4 linked regions of the Coturnix japonica genome follow. The protein of the gene in region 2 purifies or fractionates together with the protein of the main gene of each other region. This does not show direct contact. Links are inferred from orthologs where the notes say so. Each region holds a gene or a part of one and is shown on either strand. Other genes may lie near its edges.

Region 1 (6,487 bases), on a different chromosome or scaffold from region 2:
CTGGGCTCTACCTGGTCTGCACGGCCAGTATCTCCTCCCTGGGAACCCCCCACACTGCACCCACAGCTGCAAAAATGATCCGAATGTTCAGGTTGGCAGGAACATCTGGGCAAATGCCCTTCAGATCTCCAGGGCTCCCACTGATATTCAGGTTAGACGGTTCCAATCCTGTGGAGGAACAGAGTGAAACAGAAATCCTATGCAAAATGATCTCTTCCATATTTGTATTACTGTCATATTGCAGTGAAATGTTGATAACTGCTGCACAAAATGTGTTTTCTATACGAAATATACATGAAGAAGTATGGAGTTCAACAGAGGAGTAAAACACCAAATCATTACATCAACAGACTGACAGACACATCACTCTACAGCATCAGTATATTATTAAACACATCTGTACATATCTGGATGCATGGACCCAGGTACCTTCAGGCATCTGAAATTACACGTTGGCTTTATTTGGAGGTGGTCCAATCCTAAGTGCATCTTTTTATAGCGACGTGGGCTGTGAATAAAACTACAAGTATCACTTACGTATAATTTGCACCCAGTCTTTGGGATTGCTGTCATTGGAATTGCGTCTCTTCCCAACATGAGTAGCTTGTATTAACGAATTCAGTTTCTCGATTACATTTTCTCTGCCAAATAAAAACATCAGCTCATACAAAAAGCAAATCTACAGCATGAACTTCGTTACAGCATCACTATGCCATACAATGTGTCCTCTGACAGATGCTATTACTCAGTTAAAACAAACCTCAACTACTGACTCATCTGCCCAAGGGAAGCACTCCACCCCAACGTAACCCTCACTTAAATACATGGAAATCTGAATGAAACCATTTTAATAGATTTCCCTTTAAAAAAACAGAAGAGGGTCAACCACAGAAACCTGTGACGTATACATGAACTTCTGAAAAGAATGCAACTGTGCTGATGGTAGAAACTGGTAGCAAGTGAACAATAAATCTGTGTGGCTCACCTTAAATGGCTGCAGTCTTCATTGACATCAACTTCCAATAGGCACCCAGAGAAAGAATCTACCCCGAACAAAACTGGTGTGTGAGTGGCTGACGTACACAGACTTCTGTCAGCTATGAATTGAAAAGATCCTATTTAGGGATCCTCACAACGACCTTTCAACTCCCACTTCTCATTTTTGTGCAAAAATTGCACATATTAGGATGCAAAACAGCAAGCAGTGTAATTCAAATACAGAATCAAGTCTACTCAAATTCCATTTTCCAACACAGAGCAAATTCACACGCTCAAGAATCTCATGAGCTTAACAACTGCTCGGTTTTAAACCTTAACTTCATACAACATACTCAGATGTTTGAGGATACTGAAGCTACTTTACATTCATTAAATGCAAATTCTTCAATTAAGCTGGAATAAAGGCTAGAGAATAGCGTAGAAAAGCACAATTCGGCATAGAATAGATTCAGAAGTAAAACATGTATATGAAGGCAGCATTTTAGCATTTATGAAAGCTGAGGGTGTAACCTTACAAATCAGTACCTGGCTGCCAAATGCTTAAGCTGCCAGCAGTATCAGAAGCATTCACATTTGCAGCTCTCACTGCGTTTCCAACTTGATAACCTAAATGCAGAAGGAGTTGTGAACATTTTAAATGAATCTATAAGCATTAACATCGATTTAATAATGCACGTAATTAGTCTCAAAGCAAACAGACAGACTTTCCATTACAACAGCCCCATTTTAAATGATCAATACTGAGCCTAAAAGCCAATCACTGTAATTACAGCTGACAACACAATAAGAGGGAAGGAGGGGCACCAGCAGAACAAGTATGAACAAGGTACAAAACGTGGTCACTGCTAATGACCAATCTAGTACCAAAATCTGTTCTTCTATGAAGCAAACTGAGGTATTACTACCTGGATTATTGGGCACTTCTGCTGCATTATCACTCTTTAATCTTACAAATTCAGCCGTGAATCTCTGCGTCAGCATTTCTGGTAAAAGATAAAGGAATGACTTTATGTTCCCATACATAAATTAGCAGGAAGTATGCTGCTTATTTAGGATACAAATTTCTGTCCTACATGAGCACCAGAAGATTCAGGATAATAGCAATTGGCAGAAATTTGCCCCATACATTTTCTTTCCAGAGTCCAAAACTCTTTTTGATCAATATTACTAATTAAGATAAACTATCAAATAATTTACTCACTTAAGAAATAAAAAAAATAGTAAATCTGTACAAGAAAAGTCACAATACCTCCACCATATAGATTTCCTTGGAAGACTGTGACATTCACTCCCTCTATGTTGTCACCTTCACACACGAATGTATAATGCTCTGCAAAGGTTATACTTTGCAATGGAATGCCCACGGTAGGAGGAAATTCTGCAGAAGAAAGAAAAACATACCATAACCAAAAGTACTGCCAATTAGAAAGCTGTAACTGAAAAACAACTTAAAAATCTCTAACAAAATTCTGGAAGATAAATCATTCATCCTTTTAACATTTTTTTTTTACTGTTTAAGTCCCATCATACAAGGACAGTGTGCTGCATTTACAGTAGAATCCCTTCGTTTATCAATATTCTAACACCTGCAGTTCTAGCTCCTGTTGTAGTTGACCCCTTCCTTAAGAACCCAGCACAAGGCCTTACTCCATCAGCTGCTGGGGCCCTCTGGACTCAGGAGTCCCTCTCTTTTTATCTCACCCTGCTGAGAGGGCCATCATCTTCCAGAAATACATGCTAGTATGGATTCAGCACTATCCTGCATTACCCTCCCCACTGACTGGGAGCCACTGTTCTAAAATAAAAGCTGCTTCATTGGCTCCAGAACCTTAAAAAGGCACAAGAGTGTTCAAAATTCAGGCACATCCAGCACTGCTTACAGGCTGCCTGCCCTGCCTGCTTTGTTCAAATATTAGAATACACACAAGATCCTTCCTAGGAATCACGACAGGTAAATGTTTTAGGCACCCCAGTCACTTGTGTCATCCAGGTTAAGAAAGAAACACACTAATTACACAGCAGAAACATACCACTTTTAGTGATGAATTTGTCCCTGTCAGTGACGGTTTTGTAGGTCACATTTTGTTGGATGAAGTCTGAGAATAAAAAACAAATGCTGCAGTAATCCTGATAAAAGAATCATATACAACATTCACATCCAAAGTACTCCTTTTTGTTATAGAAACTGTGCAGAAAAGTATTTAGAAAGCCAGTTTTGGTAATAAACCAGGCAGGTTATGTGTTAGAGCATAGCTAATTATCTCTGCTTCTTACTAAGGTAGTGTAAATAAAATTAGACAACGTAATTAAACAGCATAAAATAAATTCTCTTCATGTTGGTAATTGCATCATCTCAAACTCCAGAATGACATTTCTTATATTTATGCTTTTGTAATGCAGAGAGTAAGCACTTCTAATTCTAAAGTGACAACACTGCACCCTCTTGACAGAAAAAGGAGGTTCCAAGAATACAAAAACATGATGAGAGATGCTTCCTTGTGCCACATGCAGCCATATGAGTCACCAGAAACAGATAAATGGGAAACAAAGGCTAATCCCACTATTTCTCCTATCCCAAGTCCTGGGTAATACAGAGAAGCTTGGCAGGTGATCAGAAATAGGACTATAACATCCCTAAACACTGAACTATAGCCATGTAGCTGCCACGTCAACAGTCCTCTCGTTAATTCTACTTCTGAAGAACATAACTACATTTCTGTTAGGACTATGCGACATACCTCCTGTTCCACTGTTGATTTTCACATCATGGGACAGTCCTTCCTTGTAAGATGCTGCATCAGAAAGGCACCTCACGTCAAAGTCCTGCAGAAACGCTACAGGGGCATTTCCAGCACACTGCCCTGCCAGGGACGGCTGCAGGTAGTTGAACAGAAACGTATGTGAGCCTTAAAGGCAAGGAAGGGGAGGGGTGGGCAGGGGATGAGGAAAGATAATTATTGTTATTAACAATGATTTTGTGCTTGGTGAAAAATATATTCCACCAGTTCATAAGAGCAAGTTACAGAATCTGGTTACAAACACAAAAGAATGTGATAAATGGAGAACTTCAACTAGCCAAGAGGAATCAGAAGCTCCTAAATATGGAGCAATTACCTGAGGGATGGTAAAATACTCGTCATCTTCTGTCATAATTGGATCTCCTGCTCTGTAACCAGTGAACACTTTCCCAGGAGAAGCCTGTACAGGGATCCTAAATGGACGAACTCTGGGTGCAGAACTTCTGGGTGCAGAACTGCAAATAAGTTCAAAAATGAAACAATTCTTTACTCCTCACATTACATGGTGAATTAAATATCTGCCTTCCAGTCCCGTGCTCTCAAAGTACCAATTATATTTCTCCATTTACATTTAAAGTGATCGATTTATAATTTCAAAATAACTTTCACTGTAAAAAATACATGCTACAGTTTCAATGTAATGTCTAAATTGTGTATTGAGGAAAGAAATATTTTCAGACTTACACAGAGCCATCATAAAAATAGCCAAGAAATGGTGTATTGCTAAGAGAAGACTGTATGCAAAGGAAGGGAAACCAATCAGGAGTATATTCTGTTGTCTGTGTGGAGCACAGCTGATCAAAAGGTGGGTTTACATCCCCACCAAACACTCCAGTGAAACACGATCCATTGAATAACTGCTTCAAGTCTGGTGTACACTCCTGGAAGGGAAAAGAACACCTTAATGCCATAATTGCACCACCACGGCCTCTAGTGCTGTATTTGCAGATAACCAAGCCAGCCCTGTAGACAGATGTCATATTTACTATTAGAAATACCACAAAACCCAGGCAGACCCTATTTCTACTTTGAAATACTCAGTAATTCTCCCTCCAGACAACAGAAGGAACATAGAAATTCTAAAACCATTTCATCAAAGTTTAATATGAAATAAGTACCGGATCACAGCAACAACGAACATCACAAGCTCCATCTGTCAAGTCACAAGGACATGAGCCCAAGGGCTGAAACACCTGGTTAGGGATGACAGACATGATTTCTGTAAGAGAATTACAAGAAAAGAAGAGAAAATTCAGGTCATACAGACTGGAATCCCAAGAAGCAGACAACATGCATTACAGCCAATCCCACCTGCATATAAATCCTTAAATGCTAGAGAAATTTAATCTCTCATTGCTGTCCAATTCCCAATTTTACTTTTCTTTTTTCTGGTACAGAAAGGGGAAGTAAATACCATTTCTTCCTCAGGATATCCAAGTACTTACCTGACACATTTCCCATAAAGGAAGAGTTGGCATATATTTCAGCTTGAATTATGAGACGTGCCAGCATCGCCGAACCACTGCAAGCTAAAACCTGAACTGTTTCCACCACACAGAGAGGTGCTGTGCAGCAGTCGGTGGCATTGGGCAAACATAACTGGAGATTTCTAGTGAAGGTTACAGTCACTTTGGATGAACCCTGCAAAACACAAAATGATGGATTCAACAGCTTGTACCAAATTACTGTTCTTTGTATCATCACCTGCCGGGAAGCACAGGCAGTTCGGGAAAGGAGAAAGACAAGAAACCAGCATCAAAGCTGCACCTTAGCAACTTCCAACATGGGCATCCAGATGATGGGACATAACAAAGGCAAAAAGGGAAGGCACTCTAACTGAGCTGTCAGTAAACTAATATTACATTAGCACTTCATCAGCCTTTAATATATGATTGCTCAAGCTTTTCTATCTTAGGGCAGAAGCAGTGTTTTACATACCACACCAGCTGTTACACTCAATTCCCAGTCACCAGCTCTTTCATTTCCACCGCAGTTTGGAAGGAGCAAATTTCCTGTATCAAAATTAAAACATAACAAACACATATATATATTATTAATATATATTATATATATATATGTATGTTATCTGTTTCACTGTCACTTCAAACTTCTCATGTGGGAATGGGGCACCAGAGGGACCCTCCCAACTCCAACAGTTCTGTGATGATTCTTTGAACTGCACTGCAGTTATTTGGGTAATTGTAATGACAACAACAACAAAAAAAAGTTAAGAATTCAAATATATTTATTATTTTTCGAAATAGCGGGTAGATAAATAAAGTGTTCTTACCTGTCTCTTTATCGATAGCATCTAAAATAATGGAAAACGTAACTCCTGAAGAATCTCCAAGAAAAAACGAATTGACTCTTAGCCCAGACATGTGGATAAAGGAAGGCTGAAAAACTGGGGGGGAAGAGAAAGTTTAGAAAAGAATCACATTGTAACACAGAAACCCTCAAAGCGCCGCATCTGGGAGGCACACCAGGCCGAGCCCCCTCAGCCCGCACAGGCTGCTGCGGCCCTCTCCCCTCTCATCCCTTCCTTCCCCTTCTCTTCTCCTCCCCTCGCCCCCTCCCACACACCGGGCTGCCCCGCACACAGAGCCGCCAGCAGCAGCGCCCCGAGCCCGGCGGCCGCCATAGCGTCACTGAGCGCCGCCATCTTGAGGCGGCACTGCTGCCACGGCAAC
Region 2 (7,449 bases):
AGTTTATTTGGAGTGAATGTGTTTTTTTCAGGGTGTAATTGTACATTCATTTAGATCCTTTGGAAGTGTCTCAAAATGAGTGTCGTATTAAACTTGTAACTTTCCTGTTCCCATTCTTTAAATTACACCAAGTTCCATGATGCTGACCATTGAAATCCATGTTACAAGTTCGCTTGGTAGAAGCTCAGTCTGTTTATCCTGCGCTTGTTAAATAGTACAACTTTGTATAGGTAGTTAAGTGACTTGAATGCTTCTTGTTTTAGCTGGGTGTTGTCTGAAGCCAAGAAAGAAGACACAGATGACAACATTGCTAAATATGATGGTTAGTGCTTTTAATGTTTACTTTTGCTGCATGTTTGATCTGTTGCTTTGTGTGAAATACCTCTCCTTCATGCTGTATACCTGTTGTGCTGTACTTACCTTCAGAAACCTACTTAAAAGCAGAAGCTTGTTATTTCTTGTTATTGTAACTTCTGGCTCTATTACTTTCAGGTTTTTTTCCTTAAGCTTTCTTCTCTCCTTGTTGTCTGAGCCCAAATACTGGGTTAGATAGATCTTAGATCTTCTGACCTGGGGATGTTGTTATTTTATTGGCTTTACTGTGAATTAGAATTCTAGTGGTTTCTAATTGCTGAGAAGTACTGGTTGAAATGCTGTATTGGTGATCTGATAGTAAGATGTGAGCATCAAATGTGTGTGCCATTAACATTCTTTTTGTATTGTAGTGCTGCAGAGCAGTTAAAGCTTGGGGAAGTATAGGGTCCTATATAATCACTTCTATCCAAAGAAGAATTATCAGTGCTCTATTGGATGGTTGTTATTAAACTTCTAACTTTGACATCGAATGTCAAGACTTCTTCCCTACTTTGGCAATTAGTCTTATATGCTGTGAACTCTTCTCTTTGCCACAAGGCTATAATGTCTCTTCAAAGGATTTACTTATGTCTAGTTCTTAGAGATGGAAATTAGCAAAATGGATAGCCTGCTTGAAGAAAAACATTTTTTGTTTTCCCGGAGATCGCATAGTTGTTGTTTGTTTCTTTCTTTCTTTTAGGAAGATGGGAAGTAGAAGAGCTGAAAGAAAACACAGTACCTGGAGACAAAGGATTAGTGCTAAAATCGGCTGCAAAGCATCACGCAATATCAGCTATGCTAACAAAGACATTTATTTTTGATAAAAATCCATTGATTGTTCAGTAAGTATTCCCTCAGATTCTGTGCTTGATATCTACTGTGCTTCAAGTCTTTAAGTCTATGAAGTCATGCAAATCCTTTTGCATATCACTGACTGACATAGCCAGAGCTGTAAGTACGAATGATAATTAGCAAGTAAAATTGTAGTTCAAGTGTAAGAAGTTATATTCAAACTCTAGAAATATTTTGGTGGTAAGTTACCATTTTATATTATATTTTAATTAATTTTTTGTTTTAAATGAAGGTTTAACTCGTGATTTGAGTACGCTGCTTTTACACTTGCAGAGTATTTTTGTGTAACTCAACTACAACAATTTGGATCCCTCTAGCTAAAAGTGCTGTATTGGCAGTTTCAAAGAGAGAATCAAATTCCTAGAACTCTTTCTGCCTCACTGTCATAGAATGACAGAAAGGCCTGGGTTGGAAGGACTCGGATGATCATCACATTCCAACCCCCTGCCGCAGGCAGGGCCACTAAACCTCCAGGTCAACACAAGTTTGAAACTTTTCTGTACTATAGAAACTAAACTATATATATAGACTATAGAAACTAAACTATATATATAGACTATAAAAACTATAGCAATTACTACTGTAAATATTTTTTGGCTGAGGTTGCTAATGTGTCTGTGTGGAAACTAAAAACCTTAAAGTCACATCGGGATATTTTGACAGTAGCACCTAATAAAAAAAATAAAGCAACTCATACATGATTTTAATGTGTTTGTAATTAGAACTGCAGATAGGAAGATTATTTATGTTTGATATGAGGAATGTGTCTTTTAATTTGCTCTTTGCCTAGATACGAAGTGAATTTTCAAGGCGGCATTGACTGTGGTGGTGCGTATATTAAACTTCTCTCCAGTACGGATGACTTGGATCTGGTATGCCCCTTTACATTTGCTATCAATTGTTCATTTGAGGAATTAGCATATTTAAAGTTAAATAAACATACAGATCCATCGCAGACAATACATCTGCCGTAGAATGTATCTCACAGGAAGATAACTTGCAGAAATCAAGTGGTCTTCCTTCAAGCGGTTGCTTAAAAACATAGCTTGGTACTGTGCATTCCAAGTAGATAAATTATATAGTTAAAGGAAAAAAAAAGAAAACAACAACTGAAATTTTGGACCAGCTGAATGCAGGATGCTCTGAAGAAAACAAGCTGTTATTTTAAGAATTGCTTATTATTATTTACTGTGGAGCAAGAAAGCAGTGCTAAAATGCTGGGTAATAATACCTTGTTTTTCATTTTTATTGAAATATAAATGGCTGTGAAGAACAGAAACTGTTTCTCTTCCATCTTTTAGTGTAACATGTACAGAAGAGTATGTGTGGCTGTTTTGATTTGTGGCAGGCATTTCAACTTAGTGTAAGGGTAAGGACTTAGTAAGCCCATTCATCTTGTCTGAGGAGGCTTCAGTGATCTCTGTAGTTAGGCTGTTTCAGCAACTCATAACATCTGTTAAATTCTTTTCATGATTTACCCTGCCAGTTTTCAGTGTTAGAATAGAGGCCACGTCAAACACCTCTTAGAAAAATGTAACTGTGTTGTATATATGCCACAATAGCTTGGAAATGCAGTACTCCAAATGACTTGATAAAATGTACAGTTTGACACATGCTTAACTTTTTTACTTCTACAGGAATTCTTTTTTGACAAAACGCCTTATACTATTATGTTTGGACCAGATAAATGTGGTGAAGATTACAAACTACACTTTATCATCAGGCATAAGAATCCTAAAACTGGAGAATATGATGAAAAACATGCAAAACGTCCCGATGTGGACCTAAAGAAGTTCTATCTGGACAAGAAGACACACCTATACACTCTTGGTATTGTTTAGTTTTTACAAGTTTAAACTAATTTTTTAAAATCTCTTCTAATTTAATTAATTAATTAATTAAAGATTAATTGATCTTTAATGTAAATTCCTTCAATGTAGTGCTGAAACCAGATGATACGTTTGAAATGCTGATCGACCAATCAGTCATCAGTAAGGGAAGTCTTCTGGAGGATATGATTCCTCCAATAAACCCTCCCAAAGAAATAGATGATCCTGCTGATAAGAAGCCTGAGGACTGGGATGAGAGACAAAAAATACCTGATCCCAACGCTGTCAAACCAGATGACTGGTAAGGAGAAAGCTTCATCTGTAGAAAACATTTTGTATGCAGGTTATTGCTTTATAATATTTGCTTGGCTTTATTTTGTTGTTTTTCTTGCTCTCAACAGTTGGGATATGTTTTACAAATACTAACAGTTGAAAAAATGTAACTGAAGTGGGAGTGTGAGGATCTGATCATCTTTTAAGGAAAGAAGTAAAATCTTGACTTTTCCTGATTTGAACTTTCTGTTGATGCAATTTGTAACTAAGATCACCGTAGTTGAAGGATTAGGAAGAGTGTTTTTCCACTACTAGTAGAGTCATAGAGTGGATTGGGTTGGAAGGGATGGAAAGACCATCTAGTTCCAACACCCCTGCTGTGGGCAGGGTTGCCACTGCTAGGTCAGATGTTGTACATATACTTCCTTCTTCCTGAAGTACTGTTCATATAGCAGCTTAAACAAAGGAAACATTTTAAGGAGAGACCTGATTGACGCACCTGCCAGTCCATGACAGCTATTTCTGGGCTAACAAGTGCCTTGAAATCTATAGTTTAAATGTTTATAAACGGAGAAGTAGGTACCTAATTCTCATTATAGGCACATCTAACTATGTTGTGCCCTTGAATATTATCCCCTCCATACCAGTTACAGTCCTCTGAACAGAACATTGGTTCAGAGTCGAGCTGATGTATTTCCTAACAGTAGTCTGTAATTGAAGGGATGAAGATGAGCCTTCTAAAATAGAAGATCTTGATGCTGTTAAGCCCGAAGGATGGCTTGATTATGAACCACAGTATGTTCCGGACCCCAATGCAAAAAAGCCGAAGGACTGGTAAGAATTTAATACACGTGGATCTGTTAATGTGCTTTGTAGCTAAGCTTGTTCTCTGGCACATTGAGTAAATTAGAATTTATCCCAGTCCCACTGTCTCTGCCATATTAAGTTGGAACATAACAAGTGTGGCTGAATATTTGTTGATTTGTGAGGCTACCTTTAGAAAAATATGCAAGTGTCAATAATTGCCTTGTATTCTGAAGAGCTGTAAACAGTAAGGAGCTATTTGAAAGAACCTACCATGGGGATAAGCAGCAAAGCAGTTGAAGCTGATGCTTGAAGTCATGTAGTAGTCCTAAAGCATGTTATATGGAAATGATGCAAGCTGCCTGCAGACGTAGGAGTATGATTGCATTTAACCATGCTCTAGTAGTTACGAATGTGTGGCCTTAAAGCATTCAGTCCTCTGGAAAATGTACATTGCAGTTAGATCAGCCCACTGAACTTTAGCCAAATTCTGAGGTTGTTACAGCAAAATACATACGGATCCCAAGTTATACTGAATGTTAGTGTTCTGATCAGACCAACCTGCAATTGGTTATTTGTACCTTTCTTTCTGTAGGGATGAAGAAATGGATGGGGAGTGGGAAGCTCCTCAGGTCCCCAATCCAAAGTGTGCAACTGCACCTGGTTGTGGACTGTGGGTGCGTCCCATGAAGAACAACCCCAAGTATAAAGGAAAATGGAAAGCACCTATGATAGTTAATCCTAATTATCAGGTACTAGCAATATTGTAGGTTATTATTTAAGAGATGTGGAGCTCAACCAAGCAGAAAAGTAAAATTAGTACATATGTCTGGCCCTTCATACTGAACCTGATATGGTCACTTACTACTATAACCCAATATGGAGGAAAAAGGTTTGAATTTAAGAGAAATCTGTCTGTCCTAAGCCAAAAATCTGAGACCTATCTGCCAAAATTCCATAGGTTGTTTCCAGGTCTGTTTTCCTGAAGTTCAGAGGCTTACCCTTTGCTTTTTAAATCATGTAGTTGAAATAATCAGAAAGTCTTAATTGCATTAAAATGTATTTTCCTGTTTTGTTGTGAGTGGGTTTTTTTATGTTTATTTTTGTGGTATAGATAATATTATTACATGTTTTTCTTTCCCCATAAAAGGGAATCTGGAGTCCTCGGAAAATACCTAACCCAGACTATTTTGAAGATCCTCACCCATTTGAGATGACACCTATCAGTGCTATTGGTTTAGAACTCTGGTCTATGACATCTGATATCTACTTTGATAACTTCATAATATGCTCAGAAAAAGAAGTCGCTGATCGTTGGGCAGCAGACGGTTGGGGCTTGAAGAAATTAGTAGCAAGTGCTAATGAGGTATCAATTTTATTATATTCTTGATAACCAGAAGTAGCAAGGAAGGAGTTCTGTTGGAATAATTTTCTGTAATATAATTATTCTGTGATTGATAATCTTACAGAATAGCTATGATATTTCCCTGATCAATACTGGACTGAAATTAAAAGGGTACAACATTTTACTCAAGTATCTTACAAGAAATGTAGCAACATTTCATTGTAGTTGATGCACCTTCCACTATTAATGGTGGTACTACAATTCAGTGCCTGTCAGCAGATGGAAGCTGATTTATTTGCAACCAGGCCTCTTTATATACTTAAAACTTGTCACTTTTGACTTAACTTCTTTTTATGTGCTTCTGATGTGCTCTCCTATCATAAAAAGTGGTTAATAGTCATGTATTTTTGTGTTTAGTAAATTATGTCTCTGTCTGCTTGGATCTTATGTTATGCAACTCTGACAATAACATGTGCGTGTTTATGGAGCTGCATCTGTTCTTCTGTTTGTGTGTATACATCCATGTTTTGTTTACTACAGTTGGCCAGTCACCAGTTTTTCTAGATCTCTTCCCTGTGTCATAGAATGAATTTGACCTAATAGATGGGAACGTGAGCCCCTCTAGTGGCTGCCTTTGCTGACTGCAGTTGAGAGGGAGTACTTCAGTTGGAATGAACCATTCAAAGATTATTCAGAGCGTGGCTATTTGACTTCTTTAGGGCCATACAGGATTTTAAGTGGCATTGTTGAAATTGTCTCTTGAATACTGACAGGCATAGGGCATCATTTTTATTTTTTTTTTAGGAAGCCTGTTCCACTTTCATGAGTGGTTTGTTCTGACAGCCCTGTATTTACTTTGGGGGATGAAGGCAGACCTGTGGGTATATGAAAGAAATGATGGATTGGCTGTGTAAGTATGGTCAGTCTCTGGCAGGTGCTATTTCTTGCAGAAAGGATGAGAAAGTAGCAACAGACTGTCCGTGCAATTTAGGAAAGCCCCCTTGTTTCACAGCCTTGCACATTTCAAATATTTGTTTCTATGTCTGGAGTTACATCTGTATTTGCACATACAACAGCAGAAGGTAATTCTGAAGTCCCTTTGCTACGCTGCCCCTGTAGCTTTCTACCTTGGTTGCTGATGTCCCCTTCCCAGAGTCTAACTGAACCAAGACTTGCCTACCTCCTACTACTCCATAAGTAAGAACTGGGCTGGAAGGCAGCTGACTGTCTGATTAATTGGCTATCAGAGGAAGCAAAGTGGCAGTACAGAGAGAGCAAGATGTTGTTCTTCAAGTGGCTGGCTGTTCCTCTGAGGTTCTTGATGCTTTGGGAACTATTGGTTGTGTTGGCACAGTATGGGGAAAGAGTAAAAAAGCTGGGGAGAATGGAAAACATGAGGTTGCTCAAACTTGAAGGATTTTCTTTGCGTGGTGTGAATATTAAAATATATACATTTTATAAGCTTATCTAAGTGTTGAAAGGGATATAAATGCAATTTTATTTATTTTTTTAACATAGCCTGGAATGTTTAGTCAACTGGTGACTGCTGCAGAAGACCATCCATGGCTCTGGGTTCTCTATATCTTGACTTTAGCTCTGCCTGTTGGTCTATGTGTGTTGTTCTGCTGGCCGGCAAAGGTTAGAGAAATTTTTAATGCATTTTTCTTCTTCTGTCTTTCTTAATACTTCATTTAAAACTCCTTGTATTTGTACAACAGTATGCTCTCTTACTGTGCCACTGATATTAGTTAGCTCCTAGTGATAGTTGTGTTTAATTCTTAATCTGAGTTTAAATAAATTGGTTTCTAATTTGTTTTAGAAAACAGATGAAGATTTCAACTTGAAAAAAACAGATGTGTCTATGCCATTTACAAAGGGAGAAGTAAAACAAAGAAGAGAAGAGTTAGAAGATGATGAAATAGATTTAGAAGAAAAAGACAACGAAGATATTGGTGAAGATGGTAAGATGAGTAAGTCACTTCATAGTTGGAT
Region 3 (7,449 bases), on a different chromosome or scaffold from region 2:
GCATCATGGAGATTGTCTGGACTTGACTACATGAACATATTATTTCAGATCAAGAGTCCATTTCAGAAGCAACCCAATGAACGTTGCCCATTTATTTATTGTCTTGATACATTGTATTTTCATGGATTGCATCATGACCAGTGAATTGTATTCATTATTAATGAAAGTGAACTGGAAGATGACCTCCCAACTGCTAATAAGTGTTCAGTTCACATGAGGCTAAATATGATCTAAGCTAAAATCCAATAGATGTGTATACTGTCCTCAATACCAATTTCACTTCAGACATGTTCTTGTTGCTGTGGTAAATAGACTACACTTGTGTTTGACGCAGCTGATGGACAGAACTGATTTGTTATCAGCCAGTTTGACTGACAGCAACCCAGGAAGAGCTTACTGAAGTAGGCAATATCCTGCATTATTTATTCTTCATAGGAGTAGGCAATTCCAGAGAAAATACGCTTTAAATAAAATAAATAAATAAATAAATTAAAAAGCTTACTAGGCTTTGAGGAAATGGTTTATGGAACAGCTGTTTCTGAAATCCATAGGCATTAAAATTCCTGATTATTTACAAATGCTGTGTTACCTCTGATGTTAAGTTGTACTGTTATCAGCAAAACAGACTGACTTCAGAAACTGATTTGTTGTTGCTTAGCTGTCAAGAGCAGCCCTTTTCAGTCTTAATGCAAATCTCAAATTTGGCATAAGTAATTTATATTACCTTGCTGTGATTAGTGTTGCATGCTGAAGTAGACATTATAGGAAAGTTCTTGCCAAGTAAAACTTCTTGCTTGTGCTGATAGAGTGCTCTGCTGGCCAGTATGCATTTTTAGGTTCCATTGGAAGAACTTGAGCTATTTTGTTTGAAAGTTAATATGTAGCTTTTTGAGTTATAAACTTCATTAATTGTTTTGCGAGGAAGGTATTGGTCTTCTTGCCAGGTGTAAGCACAGAAGCTTTAGTAGTAATCTTTTTGTAAGAGCACTTTGTGGACGATTGATCTTTGCTTAATTTAACATAGTCTTATAAGAATAGATGAGGTTACTTTTCACTGAAGATTGTGTTTCCGAGACCAGTATTTAGAATAAGATTTTCTAAACTATGTAAACTCTCAAGATAAGCGATATTATAACTGCTTCTCCCTACTCTTATTCACAATTTTAGGCCGCAGTGCTTAATTATGACAGGTCCCCCAAATGCACGTCCAGCTTTACTTCATCTTGTTCATGCTTTTACCAAAAATGTGGGTTTAATGATCTGTGGACATGTACATATGGTAAGTGTATTCTATCCTTAATGTTATATTATGTTGTTGTTTGTTCTTTTCCTTTAACAAAACTGTCTCTTTCCTTTTTTGAAAAATGGTGTAGTATCTTGAGGTGTTCAAATAGAGTAGGATTTATTCATGTATATGTCATCACCATCCCCACTTTGGTGTGCTGCAATTTGAGGGAATTATGAAAGTTGTTAAAGCAGGTATTATAGACATCTGTGCTAAATGCTTTTTAACATCTACTTGTAGTTAAAGGGATTTTGCAGTGGTAAAGATGGTGATGGCTATGCGTGAAATGTGGTGTAAGAGGGGGAAATTTTGCAAAATTATTTAAGCAGATATGTTCACTGCTATGCCAGTATTTCTTATACAGCCTAGCCTAAAGTAAGTCTTATTGAGTATCATTTTGTATCATTTGGCTGGTAATTTAGAGTTGATTTTAGCTTCTGACCAGCTTTCATCCTTCCAGTTAACTGATTTGTTCCACTGGCAAGGTGAAACAGCGGTTATTTCTAGTTATTATTAACAGTTATTTCCTCCCCTCTTTCTGTTTCTGACCAGTCCTGAGTATTTCACTAACTTTTCATTGTTACTGTAAGGATGTGAGAGTTCTGGGAATAGGGAGAAGGCTTGTTCTTCAGGGACATAATTTCAGCGCTTCTTGCTATTTTACAGAGGGGAAACAAAACAAAACATAATCACTTTAAGCACAAGAACAGAATGTGTGTATCATGCACTGAACAACAGTGACTGAGGGAGACAGAAGAAAGCAAACTTCAGAGAACTGTTCTTCAAAATCGTGTTGTGATGAATTGTCTTAAATCAAGGTGGTTGTTGCACTACCACCTGTCCCAGAACTGCAGTTAGCAGCAGTGTAGCTGTTGCATCTTTATTAAATGTTACTGTATGCTCTTCAGTGCACTTCAGAACCGTGAAGTTTTTGCTAGACATTTTAATGCCACTCTTTTGCAGGCGCAGTACTAAGAACACCTAAACAAATGCAACCTTTAAAGTGTGACTTTTAATACAAACCTTGATTACTCTTATATATGCTTCAACTTAACCACGTTTTCTAAATAAGGCTTCTGATCTTTTTTTTAAAAAGATTTTTTTTTTTTTTTAAAGTAAATCAGGTTAGTGGAATCCACAATTGTATGCTTTTAAGATGATATTGCCCAATTCTGTTTTCAGTAACGTAACTTCAGTATTTTGATGTCTAGGAGGAGCACAGTGATGTGTGCTGATGCAGGTCAGTAAAGAAAAAATTGAAGTAATGACTTTGCAATATGTTCTATCTATGGTCATAAGCAGAATTGCAGTCCTGTTTTTAGACACGTTTGATTTCAACTCTAGCAGTAAAGTAGCTTTAGGAAAAAAAAAAAGAAACAAACAAAAATGAAAACCACACCAAAAACAGGGCTTTACTTCTGCTCATAAGTCTTGTTCACTCTACTTCGTGTCTCCTTCTTTTGAAAGGGTCCTCGGAGGCAAGCCATGAAGGAGCTGTCAACTGATTTGGCCAAATACCAGCGATGGCTAATTAAAAACAAGATGAAGGCTTTCTATGCACCAGTACATGCAGAGGATTTGAGGGATGGGGGACAGTATTTAATGCAGGTGCACCTCTTTTTTTTTCTTAATGGAAATGGGGGCATTGTATGTCAAAAAGCAGAAAATACTTTGAAGTATTTTCATTATGTAAAGTTCTTAAAAATAACTTCTCAAATCTTTATTTTCTGCTTGAAATAAATAATCTTACCTTTATTTCAGTAATGCGATTTTAACAATATATTATGTTCTCCTTAGGCTGCTGGTTTGGGTAGAATGAGACCAAATACTCTTGTTGTTGGATTTAAGAAAAACTGGCGACAAAGTGACATGAGAGATGTTGAAACCTACATTAATTTGTTCCAGTAAGTAGAAAATGCAGAGAGGTTGCATTTGTTCCATTTCAGTACATTTCTTAAGATGTGAAAAAACTTCTACTTCAATGTCTTTTTTACATAAGCTCTCCTCCTGTCTTTCAGATCAACTTGTCTATACTGCTGTACAGAGAAGTTAGGTTTTTTTCCTGATAAAGAAATTATATGAGCAACTCTTTATTGCTTCAGCAGACCAGATTTCCACATAACTCCTGCATTCAGAAGGAGTTGTGGCAGTTGTCTGAGATTTAACTGTTCCTGTCTTAAGTGAAAGAAGCAGTGTCTTATATGTCTGCTGAATTCATCAGACTATTTTCTGTTCAAAGTGGGGGTTTTCTTACTACTTTTTCCCTGTGCAGACTGAGTGGAGGGAATGAATCAACTGTGGGGCTGAAGCTTGCCCTCTTTTAAGATATTTAGTGTAGATGGATTGCATTGATGCCAAAAGTAAAAAGTAGCTAAAAGGTAGAAGAGAGGAAATCTGACAGTACTTTGGTAGTACTGAAAGGCAGACCAGTTCTGTCTGAAAATAGTATTGACTGCTACTGCTAGCATTTTAGAAAAACAGAGCTTTTGCATTTATGTAGAGGGCTTTTTTCTTGGTTTCCTAACATAATGTTAAACCTGTTCCATCTGTGCTTTGCACTTATTTATTATGCCTTTGAAAGAATGATGGAAAGGGATTACAGGCAGATACTAGAAAAGGAAAAAGCACACCCACTCACACTTCCAGTTCCTAAAAAAAAAAAAAGAGTACAAAATAGATTGGGAAAATTGGCAGTGTGTTGGTTAGTACTTGGGTTTGCTTTTTTACTTTATTCATAGTTTACTTTGAAATGTCTTGTACTTGGAGAGCTCTTGTGACCTGCCCAGTCAAGTGATTCTCTGGGCATTCTTTTTGTCTTTCATTTCACTTAGCCTTTAATTCTGGCTATTACTCTGTTTTCTACAGTAATTAAGTTTGCTTTTCTAGCTTTTTGTCTTTAAAAGAGTGAGTTTCTTCCCCATCAGGTACAATAGAAATAAGTGTCTAGTAGCTGTTTTCGTTATAACTTAAAACTTCATAGATTCCTTTAATACCCAAATGTCTTGGAAGTTCATAACTATCAGTTCAGGAAGATCTCGAAAGAAATCCATTCTTTGATGTCTCACTTTCCAGCATCATTTATATTTTCCAGTTTATCTTGTCATCGTCTGTGTGGAACTTGAAGGACCTGTTACTCTTTTATCACTGTTCTATATAGGAGAGAGAGGAAAGATAACCTTTCTGTCTGTTCCTTTGGAATTAAAACTGAAATTGTAACAAATGTATGACTTGGGAATTTAAATAGCAACATTTAATCATTAATATTTGTCTACAGAGTGCATGTAAAGTAGATCTTCTGTGAAAGGGGTAAAATGTTTTGTCTTGTTTACTCTGTTTAGCGATGCCTTTGACATTCAATATGGTGTGGTTGTCATCCGCCTAAAGGAGGGCTTAGACATTTCTCACCTTCAGGGGCAAGGTAAGATTTTGTTTCCTGTCATTATCAGCTGTTACTCTCTTTTGAAACCATTTTCTGAAAATACTAAATGAAAATGGTTTATTTAAAAAAAAAAAAAAAGTGGAAAAAAGTCAAGACTCCCACACCACTCTTTTCATAGAATAAAAACCACTGGAATGAGTAAAGCTAAAATGTATAATAAAAATAACCCTTGTTGAGCAATAGAAATACTTTTCTGTGCATTTCAACTATCTGTGTTTGTAAGCTGTAACTTTCAAATACTTCAGTATTCTTTCTGAAATGCTTTGAAGATCAAAATTGGCATTGAGTTATTCTAGTTGTGGGCTGCCTGATCAGGTAGTATGGGTCATGTGTCTCTCACTCCTTCAGTGTACCCCGTTACTACATACTTTAGAGACCTCAACAGTAATCTGTTGGGTTTCAAGATGTGTCAGGTATTAGTACCCACTGAGGCAATGAGTTTGCTTTAACTCTGGCAGTTACCAAACAGCTTCACTGGAGCCTTGCCTGGAAAAAAACTGAGAAGCATTTTGTTTCGGGATCTTGTGTAAGGATCAACTTCCACTTGGAATTAGAATTTACAATCTTTTTTTGCATGGGAAATGCTTCATCAAATACTTTTTTTTAAATTTTTTTTTCCTTTCTGATTGTAAACAGAAGGAATCTCAATGTGAGATGTAACCAGTATTGTAACTCCATTAACATGATGGTAAAAATGCAGTGCTTTTGTGGTGTGTTTCAGATTTAACACATCTTGTCAACATTATGTTTACACTGTCTGGATTTCTGTGCTTGCTGGTAACAGATACCAAAATCCAGTACTTCTAAGAGGATTTTCCTCTTGTGGGAAACTTAACCACAATGTGAAATACTTCTAGCAGTTATACTACTCAGTTATATTTAGCTCCCACTTTCAAATTCTATTTAAGCTAGAGGTCCTGTCATTACATTGCTACACATCATGTTAATGGTAATGAGCACAAACATGACATTTGTCCTAATTCAGTGTTTGGTAGCTCTGCTTGATATTTAGCCTTCAGTAATGTATTCAAAGCTTAAAATTTTGGAAGTAGAAGGAGATTAAAGCTCTGTTCAGAGCAGGTGCATTTTTTTGTACTCAGAAGCTGTTCATTTGTGGTAGAGGTTTATTTTTGTTATTTTCCCCCTTTGCCATAGCATGATAGGGGCAGTGGGATTGAGCTGTTTAGCTAAATGAAAACCATCTAATTATAGTCACAGACCTCCATCTTATACTATTTGGGACAAGTCAGTGGTTTATAATGCATTTCTTTGCTTTCCCAAAGAAGAGTTACTGTCATCCCAAGAAAAATCTCCATGTTCCAAGGATGTGATAGTGAAGGTGGATTATAGCAAGAAGGCTGAAACAGACACTTCTGTAGCTTTTGTGCCATCGTCTAGTGAGAGAACTCCTGCTCCACATAGAGGTAACTAGCTAAAGTAGCTAACTGCTAGTTAGCAGTGAAATTTGAGTTCTCATTCTTTCTCTTGTTTCCTCTTCAGTCCCTCTCTCCTTCTGATGTTTTTGTTGTATTTGTGAAACAGAGAAACTGTCATTCTTTTTGGGGTGCTGATATCTAATAGCTCAAATATTTTGCTTACAAGTATGTATATCATATTTTTATGACCTAAATAAAAATGATGATGGCCTAAGGCCAGCACTACCTTTTTTTGTTTCTTAGTTAATGAGATTGAATGCCAATAAAAATTGCTTGGGAATTGGGCCTCACAGCTGTTTGTTAGCAGCATGATTAAGGCTGGTTAATTCATGATGGTGGTTTTCACCTCAGGCTTGAGTATATTTCTATCTGCATGTTAACTAACACAAATCATCTGGGATACTTGACATGACAATAACCAACTTTCTTCTTCTTTTGCAAGTAAAACTTTGGGCTGACTTAACTATTGAGAAATATGATTAAGTTACTATTGTGTTCAAATACAAATTATTCTCAGAACATGGTAGACCAAACTCGTGTGGTTTTCTTTGTATGAAAATCCATTTCATTTTCATTTTTCTTTTCTTTTCCTTTGTTTTTTTTTTATACACTTGTACTGTTTTCATTAACATCACAGAGGATATTAACCTTTTTATTTTGTATCTTTAAAAATCTCCAGAGGAGGACGAGGATGGAAAGACTCCAACACAACCCCTGTTGAAAAAAGGCAGGCATTTTTCACCTTTTTGTTAAATCATACTTTCACGTTGTTAATTTCAGTTTTCCTTTTGTACTCCATCCTACACGTATATTTGAAAGACAGAAAAATATCAGCTTTGCAAGCTCAATTTGTTTCTTCATATTTGCTTTGAAACTTGCTTCATCTGTGGGGATTAGGTGTGCTCAGGAGCCTCCTAAGTTATTCATGTCTTAGGTATTTGTCGGAGTCAACTTGATTTGGGTACAGTAGATGTATTAATTATGTAGTGGAAGTGCCTAGTTGGTCTATTCAGTCATCTTCTAAATCTGTATTTGTTGCTTTGAGTTGTTCAGTAGTTTGCAAAGCAAAGGATAGTGTAGCCAATCTGTGAGATTAACATCTGAAATAATGTGAAGTATTCATTCAGATTAGCAGCATTTTCAGAGGTGAATTTTCACCTAGTTTATTTCAGACTTTTTTGAGAATTAAGCACGGTTTAGTGGGGGAGGGGGGGGGGGGGAGGTTCTGTTTTTTTGGGGGTTTGGTTTTTTTTTTTGGCCTTACCTAAAAAGCATCTTGTCCTATTTGA
Region 4 (8,208 bases), on a different chromosome or scaffold from region 2:
AGGTAATGACTTTATTTACTCAGCAAACATGCTGAGTAACAGTGAATCTCCCAACCAAAGTCCTATTCTTCCCACAGTGCTCAGCAGTCTGAGAGTTCAGCAGCATGCAGTACAGAAATTTTTGCCTCAGAACAGGCAACACGAAGCAGCTCTGTCTTGCTTTTTCCTATCTTGTCACCCAGATCCGAGGTGGTACGAGGCAGCTCACTGGAGATTCAGAGTCACTTCTCCCCTCAAAACATGGAGCATTTTCAGTAAGCAAGCAGCCTTGGAAACTGTTCATTCCACACGTGTGGAACGGAAACAGAGCCTGGAGAAGAATCAGGTTAGTCACAATGCCTGGAAGCCTAAAAAAAAATACCCACAAAGCAAAACAAAATAAAAAAACCTCAGTCCTCCCTACTTTGAAGATATAGTATTCTCCTCTAACTCGTAAGAAAGAACAAAATGTTCTCCTGTAAGCACACATTCTTAAGATGTAACTAGGTACCTTTATCAGTCACCTTCCTATCAATCTTAAAATGTATAATGCTGCCACATGGACAGTCCTAAATTTAGGACAATCCCTGTTCCTTGTGGATGCTGATACATGGTAAAACAACAGAGAAGCTCAGGAAAGGTTGTGTAGGGCCCACTGGTTCATGAGAAAGATTCTGGGGCTAAGGAAGCGTCTGCGTTCACCATGTCCAGCAGCAAGACCAGGATACAGCTGGGGACTGTTAATGCAAGTTCCTGCATTTCAAGTGAGTGAAGATAACAGTAACTACTGGGCCCCCTAGAGCAAATCTGGATGCCCGGCCCTATTCAGTGGGAGCACTAGAAGGCTAGAGTAACCATCATCCCTTCCAGCCTGGCAAATGATCATATCCTTCCTGTTTCTTGAGAAATACAGTCCCTACGTTGTGGACTTTTGCCCGAGGAAGAATTCAGTATTCAGCCAGGTATAATAGCAAGAAAAGCTATTCCTGGACAAGGGCAGGATCAGATCTTGCTGTCCCATAAGGGGAGAACAGCAGAAGACTGACCAGTTTCATGGGATCTTTGAGCAGATTAGGAGGCCTCATGGCAAAAAGAAAAATATTAAAAGGATCCCAAATTCATCTAGGCTTTGTTCACATACTAAGAATGCCAACAAAGGTCTTTATACAGTTCATGTTTGAGGTCAGTCAAGTTTTATTGGTAAGGATGGTGCTGATATTGATTTCCAGATGATTTCACAGAGAAGAGGAGACCCAGTACTTCCAGTCATTGTGAAAACTATGACAGCTGAGGGGAACCAACGAAGACTTGGTTTCAGTAATTCTCAAGTCTAGTAAGTGAGGGACATGAAACTCCTCGCTCTTCCTAGCTACACAAATTCCACTGGATTAACACCAATCCCTATAAAAAATTAACCCCAATGAAGTAAAGGAGGTTTAAGTTGTGCTGGTTTCCTTGACCCATATATCCTACATTTGGCAAGTCTATCTCAATAACTAATGACCATGTGTGAGGGTGAGGAGCACAGGACAAGAGCATGTTGCACTGTAATGGTGTAATTGACGGTCAGCTTCCCAATTACCTACACCACCTTATTAAATGATACTATGGCACAAGGGAAGCCAAGTAGATGAGGAAAACGTTACAGTGATCTGATTGCTGACTCCCTTGCAGCACTCTTGACGTACTGGTAGTCATTAAAACATGCCATATGGTTTCCTAAGCTAAAACGAAAACAGAGCAGACCTAGATTTTGGTAAGAACAATCTCAGAAAATAGGGTTCATAGTTCATGGGTCAGTACAGGAATGCCTGTCATGCCCTGTACATACACTACAGTGTAAGTGAATAAGAGCCAGTGGCATGCCAAGACCAGAGCAGCATGGTAGCACACATGGATTTGATGGAACTGTGCTGAGTCTGCTCCAGCTGTGAAAGACCATTGCACAGCCCCCACATCAAGATCCTTCTGGAACTTCCAGGCATAGCAATAGGCTCTTGTATTCCTGCTACATCTTTCCCAACCACCAGATCTCACACTGCCTGCGTGCACTGCAGACATGAAGCTACACCTCCACATTACAAGCAGCGATGGCTACTTGTCACCTTGCTTTTCATTGTCCACCCGTGCAAGGAACGTTCTTGGTCCCTGCTCCTTGCTGCCGTATCTGCTGGCCCTCCTGGAACGCTGCTGGTAAAGGAAGGAGTCAACTCGGCCATTCGGTCATTTTTGTGATGGCATTTTTGTCATGTTTCCAGAAGTCTCCAAAGTGGTTCTATCCTTTTTCTTTCCTTGACCACAAATTCAATGGAAATCTACGGGCTGATTTATAAGTGTTTGAATGCTTCTGTTAGACTACAGCTTTCCAAAACCTCCTCAAGCGCAATTACTTCCTCCTTCCGACGGAATATTTAAGCAATTAATGATCAGAAGTTATATAACTATGAATGGTTATGTATCACAGAATTGTAGGGGTTGGAAGGGACCTCTAGAGATCATCAAGTCCAACCCCCTGCCAAAGCAGGCTCCCTACACCACATCACACAGGTAGGCGTCCAGGCGGGTCTTAAATATCTCCAGAGAAGCAGATTCCACCACCTCCCTGGGCATGTATGTGACTGTGCATGTACCTACAAACCACATAACTGTGATACTTACAGCTATGGCTCATCACATTATTTGCTCAGCACTTTCAGAAGCGGGATGGAACTGAGGGTCGATGTCCCCTCAGGCCGGACCAGGAGCCATTGAGGGCCGGGCCAGGAGCCCTTCAGCCCCCACTCCCACAGCCGCCCCCGGCCCGTTCAGGCGCATCGCATCCCGCCCCGTGCCGTCCCTCAGGGGTGGCCCCGCCCCGCCCCGCTCTGGCGCCGTGGGTGCCGTGTGAAGCAGCGGCACCTTTTGCACGAGTCCCGCTGGCCGCGGGGCGGTTCCGCACTGGAGCAGCGGCCGCGCTCCGCCAATGGCGGCCGCCGTCACTCCGAGCCCCGCCCCCCCGCCCGCCGCCGGGCCGTGCCGCCGGGGAGGGGCCGGCCGTCGCGAGGGGGCTCGGGCCAATGGCGGGCGAGGCGGGGGGCGGCGGCCAATGGGGCGCGGGCTGGGGGGCGTGTCCGTGCCGGCTCGGGTTCCGTGTGGAAAGAGCGAGGGGGCTCGGGTGCAAAGTTTGCTCGCCCGGCGCCAGCGTTGGGAGCGGCGGCCGAGCGGCCGGGTCGGGCGGCGGAGAGACGGAGCGGCGTTGTCCGTCGGGGCTCCGCCGAGGGCCGCTCGCCGGCTCTCCTCGCACCCGGGCCGGGTCGGGCCGGCGGCCGCCGTCGCTCGGCCCGGCGCGACGTGCGGGGGGATGGCGGCCGAGGGGCCGGGCGGGCCGCGGTGGTGGCAGAACCGTCGGGCGCGGCTGCTGTGCATGTTGGCGCTCACGTTCCTGTTCTTCGTGGTGGAGGTGGCGGTGAGCCGCGTCACGGCGTCGCTGGCCATGCTGTCCGACTCGTTCCACATGCTCTCCGACGTCATGGCCCTGGTCGTGGCGCTGGTGGCCGTGCGCTTCGCACAGCGCACCCGCGCCACCAAGAAGAACACGTTCGGCTGGGTGCGGGCCGAGGTGATGGGCGCCCTGGTCAACGCCGTGTTCCTCACCGCGCTCTGCTTCACCATCCTGCTGGAGGCCATCGAGCGCTTCACCGAGCCCCACGAGATCCAGCAGCCGCTGGTGGTCATCGCCGTGGGGGTGGCGGGGCTCGTCATCAACCTGCTGGGGCTCTGCCTCTTCAACCACCACGGCGTCGGCGGACACGGCCATTCCCACGGCCACGGCCACGCGCACGGGGGCGGCTCCCGGCTCCCCCGGGGCAGCGGCAAGGCCGAGCAGAGCCCCGCCGACGGGGAGGCCGCGCTGCACCGCGACGAGACCAGCACCTTGGTGGAGAACTGCAGCGGCTCCAACGGGCTCAGCCAGGACAAGCTGGGTAAGACCTCGAGCGCCTCTCGCCCGTGCCGGGACAACGGGGCAGGTCCCGTCCCACGAGCTCGGTGGGGCCGCCCGTCCTTCCTTAGGGAAGCTGCTTAGCGGGGCGGGCGGCACCTCGGCATCAAAGCTTTTCAGCAGGCGCTATAAGGAGCGCCCTGGGTCGTGCCTTTCTCTTGCAGGCGGGTCAGGGGTGAAGCTTGGGGTGAAGCACTCTTTGCCTTGGGAGAAGTTGGTGCTGGCAGAGGAGGCGCGTGACAAGCGGTGTTTGCCTGTCACAAGGCAGCGCCCCATCAGCTGAACCGGCTGTGCATCAATGTGCAGCTCAGCGCCTTGGTCCTGACAGCCAGGGCTTTATGTTGCTTTAGGTGTCAGCTACCTGAGAGATTTTCTGCCGCTGGACGTAGCGTAGTGAAGTCTATTCCAGTAATGAGGTGCTTCTTTGAGGCGTGTGTAGGAAGAAATCTTGGAGACTGAGGAACTGAGGAAGTCCTGCAGTAGGCACTGAATGCAGAGCTATCTGGCTCCTGAGCACACGTGTGGTTTCAAGTTTGCTTTCTCTAGCTTTCCAAAGCGTGAAGATTCCCATTCGCTTGTCTGTTAAAATCTTCTCCCCCTAGTTCTCATTACACTGTCTTTTTTGAGGGAGGGAATGTCTTAGGTTGGTTTTTTAGTGGATCCAGAAGCCTGGGTGGCTTGTTTTGAAGTCACTTGGTGTGAGCTGAATGCTGCGTGGCAGTGGAAGCTGCATGTTTGCTGCTTCTCCACTTCACTTATACACAGGGAAGAAAAAGTGTCAGTCCTTGGACCCACACCTCTCCTTTTTTCTCAGTCCTCAGATCCAGGTATCTCCTTTTTTTCTCAGGGCAACATTAGGAGAGACTGCTGAATGAGCTTAGCTTGCTCTTTCCTCTACGGAGTGAACTTTGCTATGGTTTCAGTATTTCAGTGGTCAGAAGTTCCCATGGGCATCTGAGAAACTTGGAGTTCCTCTTTTTCTCCTTAGTTTCTTTAGTGTTTTGACTCCCTGTTGCTTTTGAGAAGATTGAAAGTTCCTCTGAGTATATTACACTCTTTTCTTAACCACAAAATAAAATAACCTCTTAAAGTCATGTTAGTCCCAACAAAAGTATTCTAGTAATTAGATTCAAACCGTGTAAGATTCATTTAGCTGTTGATCTAATTGATGCCTTGGCTTCTGAGTTGTTCTTGCCTGTCGAAATGTAAGTTGTGCTTTCAGCTCAATTCTTGTCTAGTTGTAGGCTAAAAGATTGGCTTCTCTTGTGGATTAAAACGTATGCTGTGGGTGTCCTGGCTGTAGCGAATAATTTGTTGTGGGCATTTAGCAAGTAACAAGGCATGATTTGGGGCATGGGGAAACTTTCAAGTAAGTTTGCCTTTCCTTCTCTGCCATGTCATGATTATGTAAGGGATGGAGTTATTCATTGTTGGCCCACGGAGGTGTCACAGGTGAAGGTGTGTGGAGACTTGTAAGAAGCTGTAAGTTGTGCAAGTGAAGATCAGGGCAATGTCTGAAGTTGGTGCTGTACCTCAGCAGGGAGCTGTGAAGAAGGGTAGGCTGCCTTCTCCTGAGGTTGAAGTGAAATCCCCACAACAGCCTCAGGGGTTAGTCCTGCACAGGCATCTTTGTGCATACATCTTGTGTAAAGTAATCTGTTTATAGTTAGTTTGAAATGAGTCAAAATTCAAATTGAGATATTTGAACTGTTAAAAAGATTCAGAGTTTTCTGGAACCTTGCTTCTTGCTATCCACCCCATCCACTGTCTCTCCAAATCTCCTTTGTCCCAAATGCTTGCTATGGAGATGGATCAAGTGTCCTGTTTCTGTGCCCTCATTGTGAACCCCAAAGCCTGAACTCTGTAACTCGAGATATTTTCCTCTAACTTACTCATTTCTCTGGAAAATTACTGATCTCAGTGACGTTTCCTTGTTCCGTGACTCCTAGAAACTCTGTGGAAGATGTAGATGGAGCTTTAGGACAGAAGCATGATGAGCTGAGGGCTTGGGCCTGACCTACCTCTCAGCCACCTCTGTGTGTGCCTGCCTCCTTCCTGGGAGAGGAAGGGCCTTGGAGACACTTTTATGATCACAGAATTACAGTCATGAGTGCAGAGGGACAAAAGCTGTAGGTCATATTAACACGTTAATGTTTACAAAGCTCTGAACTCAATAACCATTGAAGCAGGGAGAGCTGCTTCTTTTACTTTGTCAGGCCATTGGTCAATGCCTGTTGCATTTCTTTAGCACTGTAAGTTGTCTGTCCAAAGATCTGAAGAAGCATAAGAAGTTAATCATGTAAAATAATTCCGATTTGGAAGTTTGGAAAATGATTCCTTTCACATTGCCTCTTTATAATGGTGTGTGTGCTTGTTCCTACCTAGTTTGTTGGGTGTGATGGAGCCCATTTTTTGATGAGAGAGGGTACAAAAATGTTCTTTTATGAATTACATAATTCATAATGCACGGCTTTGGGCATCAACAGGACCCTCCTTTGGGCACTGGAACAGGCTGCCCAGGGAGGTGGTGGAGTCTCCTTCTCTGGAGATATTTAAGACCCGCCTGGACGCCTACCTGTGTGACATGGTGTAGGGAGCCTGCTTTGGCAGTGGGGTTGGACTTGATGATCTCTAGAGGTCCCTTCCAACCCCTACAATTCTGTGATTCTGTAATGGTTAAGCACCTGGAAAAGGTGGCAGTGGGTTTCTGTTAAAATAGAAGTGTAGTGGGCCAAGTTGCTTGTTTTCCAGTTTTGTGCTGCATGAGGCAGGGTTAATGTTGATAATTTTTATATATGGAATTGTAGCAATGTGTATTGTTACAGCATGTGCCTAATGGCTCTACTACTTTCTTGTCAGGTGATATGAAGGATGACACGACGGACCTACAAGTGAATGGGAACGCTAGTCATTATCCTTTGGATGTTGAAGAGGTTGAGGAAGACTCCAGCGCACAGCTGAACATGCGGGGAGTTTTTCTGCATGTATTTGGAGATGCCTTAGGTTCAGTAATTGTCGTAGTGAATGCCTTGCTCTTCTATGGTTTGTGGAATCCATGTCCCAAAGATGGGCCCTGCTTTAATCCATGTGTCAATAGCCATTGCGTGGAGAATGCTACTTTATCCCAACCTCTCGGCAGTGCAAACAAGTCTGAGCAAGAGAGCATTACAGTGGCTGGTCCATGCTGGTTACTATATTTAGATCCTGTTCTTTGTTTGATTATGGTTTGTATCCTCCTTTACACAACTTACCCGTTACTTAGGGAATCGGCCCTTATACTTCTACAGACTGTTCCCAAACAAATAGATGTTCATTCTTTGAACTCAAAATTGCGTACCCTTGAAGGAGTTGAAGCAGTGCATGAATTACACATTTGGCAGCTAGCGGGCAGTAGGATCATTGGCACAGCTCACATAAAGTGTCCTGACCCTTCCACGTACATGATGGTGGCAAAGCGCATCAAAGAGATCTTTCACGATGAAGGGATTCATGCAACTACCATTCAGCCCGAGTTTGCCAGCGTTGGCTCTGAATCAGGGAGAGGGAAATGCGAGTTTCCTTGCAGAACTCAGTGTGCTTTGAAGCAGTGTTGTGGAACAATAGAAGATAACGCTGGAAAGAAGACAGAAAAATCTTCTTCGCTTAGTATTTCTTGTTCAGAGGTTGTCATTGAATTTCCACATAACAAAACTAGAAGGACTAAATCGGAGAGTGTACCTGCAGTTAAGCTAGAGGCAAACACCGATCAAAACGAGCAGTTTGAATCGTCTTTGTAACTCCCTGAATGGTGCTACCTGAGTTTTGGTGACTTTGACAACAGCTGCGTCGCAAGAGGAAGAGACAGATGTTGGAGATGCAATTTTGCCAAGTAGTGTAATTGCTGAAGTCCTCGTTCTTGTCATATTGCTAAATCTAGAATGCTTGTTCTAAAGAACATGATGTCACTGTCATATACACCGTTTCTGTTGACTTTGTACTGAGACAGACACCAAGTGCACCCACCGAGGCTGTAACAACTTCAGAAAACCAGTTTCAACATTTCAGCCGAGACGCTTTTTGTTGTGCTTCGAATTATTATTATTATTTTTTTTCCAATTAGAAGATATTTGAGGGATAAGCAGATAGGAGCTCAATTTGTGTTACAGATTTCTTGGACCTGCTTTTTTCTTTAATATTTGATTTGTAGATATTTTAATATATTGTTTATTTAGAAGCCCTAAGGAAACCAAAGTCAATAGAACGTTTTTAAA

Evidence for each region.
Region 1: the proteins of CLGN (region 2) and TCTN2 purify together in Homo sapiens (affinity purification with mass spectrometry; 3 studies listed by BioGRID and IntAct, with this or other methods). This does not show direct contact. The link is inferred for Coturnix japonica from reciprocal best matches to the Homo sapiens genes CLGN and TCTN2.
Region 3: the proteins of CLGN (region 2) and SLC12A2 purify together in Homo sapiens (co-immunoprecipitation; 3 studies listed by BioGRID and IntAct, with this or other methods). This does not show direct contact. The link is inferred for Coturnix japonica from reciprocal best matches to the Homo sapiens genes CLGN and SLC12A2.
Region 4: the proteins of CLGN (region 2) and SLC30A1 purify together in Homo sapiens (co-immunoprecipitation; 3 studies listed by BioGRID and IntAct, with this or other methods). This does not show direct contact. The link is inferred for Coturnix japonica from reciprocal best matches to the Homo sapiens genes CLGN and SLC30A1.

Annotation. Positions count from the first base shown.
Region 1 is NC_029530.1:4,194,956-4,201,442, forward strand, and holds part of TCTN2 (tectonic-2), read right to left. Parts: 5' UTR 6,460-6,487; coding exon 6,381-6,459; intron 6,202-6,380; coding exon 6,088-6,201; intron 5,810-6,087; coding exon 5,736-5,809; intron 5,439-5,735; coding exon 5,243-5,438; intron 5,017-5,242; coding exon 4,916-5,016; intron 4,679-4,915; coding exon 4,482-4,678; intron 4,253-4,481; coding exon 4,114-4,252; intron 3,874-4,113; coding exon 3,738-3,873; intron 3,096-3,737; coding exon 3,030-3,095; intron 2,378-3,029; coding exon 2,249-2,377; intron 1,983-2,248; coding exon 1,905-1,982; intron 1,606-1,904; coding exon 1,525-1,605; intron 1,098-1,524; coding exon 986-1,097; intron 642-985; coding exon 538-641; intron 169-537; coding exon 12-168; intron 1-11.
Region 2 is NC_029519.1:26,013,228-26,020,676, reverse strand, and holds part of CLGN (calmegin), read left to right. Parts: intron 1-263; coding exon 264-322; intron 323-1,054; coding exon 1,055-1,196; intron 1,197-1,996; coding exon 1,997-2,078; intron 2,079-2,843; coding exon 2,844-3,036; intron 3,037-3,146; coding exon 3,147-3,336; intron 3,337-4,028; coding exon 4,029-4,142; intron 4,143-4,707; coding exon 4,708-4,864; intron 4,865-5,262; coding exon 5,263-5,478; intron 5,479-6,975; coding exon 6,976-7,095; intron 7,096-7,276; coding exon 7,277-7,427; intron 7,428-7,449. UniProt on the Homo sapiens protein: Functions during spermatogenesis as a chaperone for a range of client proteins that are important for sperm adhesion onto the egg zona pellucida and for subsequent penetration of the zona pellucida.
Region 3 is NC_029547.1:50,493,391-50,500,839, forward strand, and holds part of SLC12A2 (solute carrier family 12 member 2), read left to right. Parts: intron 1-1,167; coding exon 1,168-1,279; intron 1,280-2,752; coding exon 2,753-2,893; intron 2,894-3,082; coding exon 3,083-3,189; intron 3,190-4,623; coding exon 4,624-4,703; intron 4,704-6,007; coding exon 6,008-6,148; intron 6,149-6,839; coding exon 6,840-6,887; intron 6,888-7,449. UniProt on the Homo sapiens protein: Cation-chloride cotransporter which mediates the electroneutral transport of chloride, potassium and/or sodium ions across the membrane. Plays a vital role in the regulation of ionic balance and cell volume.
Region 4 is NC_029518.1:19,573,816-19,582,023, forward strand, and holds the start of SLC30A1 (zinc transporter 1), read left to right. Parts: upstream 1-3,293; 5' UTR 3,294-3,319; coding exon 3,320-3,941; intron 3,942-6,817; coding exon 6,818-7,734; 3' UTR 7,735-8,208. UniProt on the Homo sapiens protein: Zinc ion:proton antiporter that could function at the plasma membrane mediating zinc efflux from cells against its electrochemical gradient protecting them from intracellular zinc accumulation and toxicity.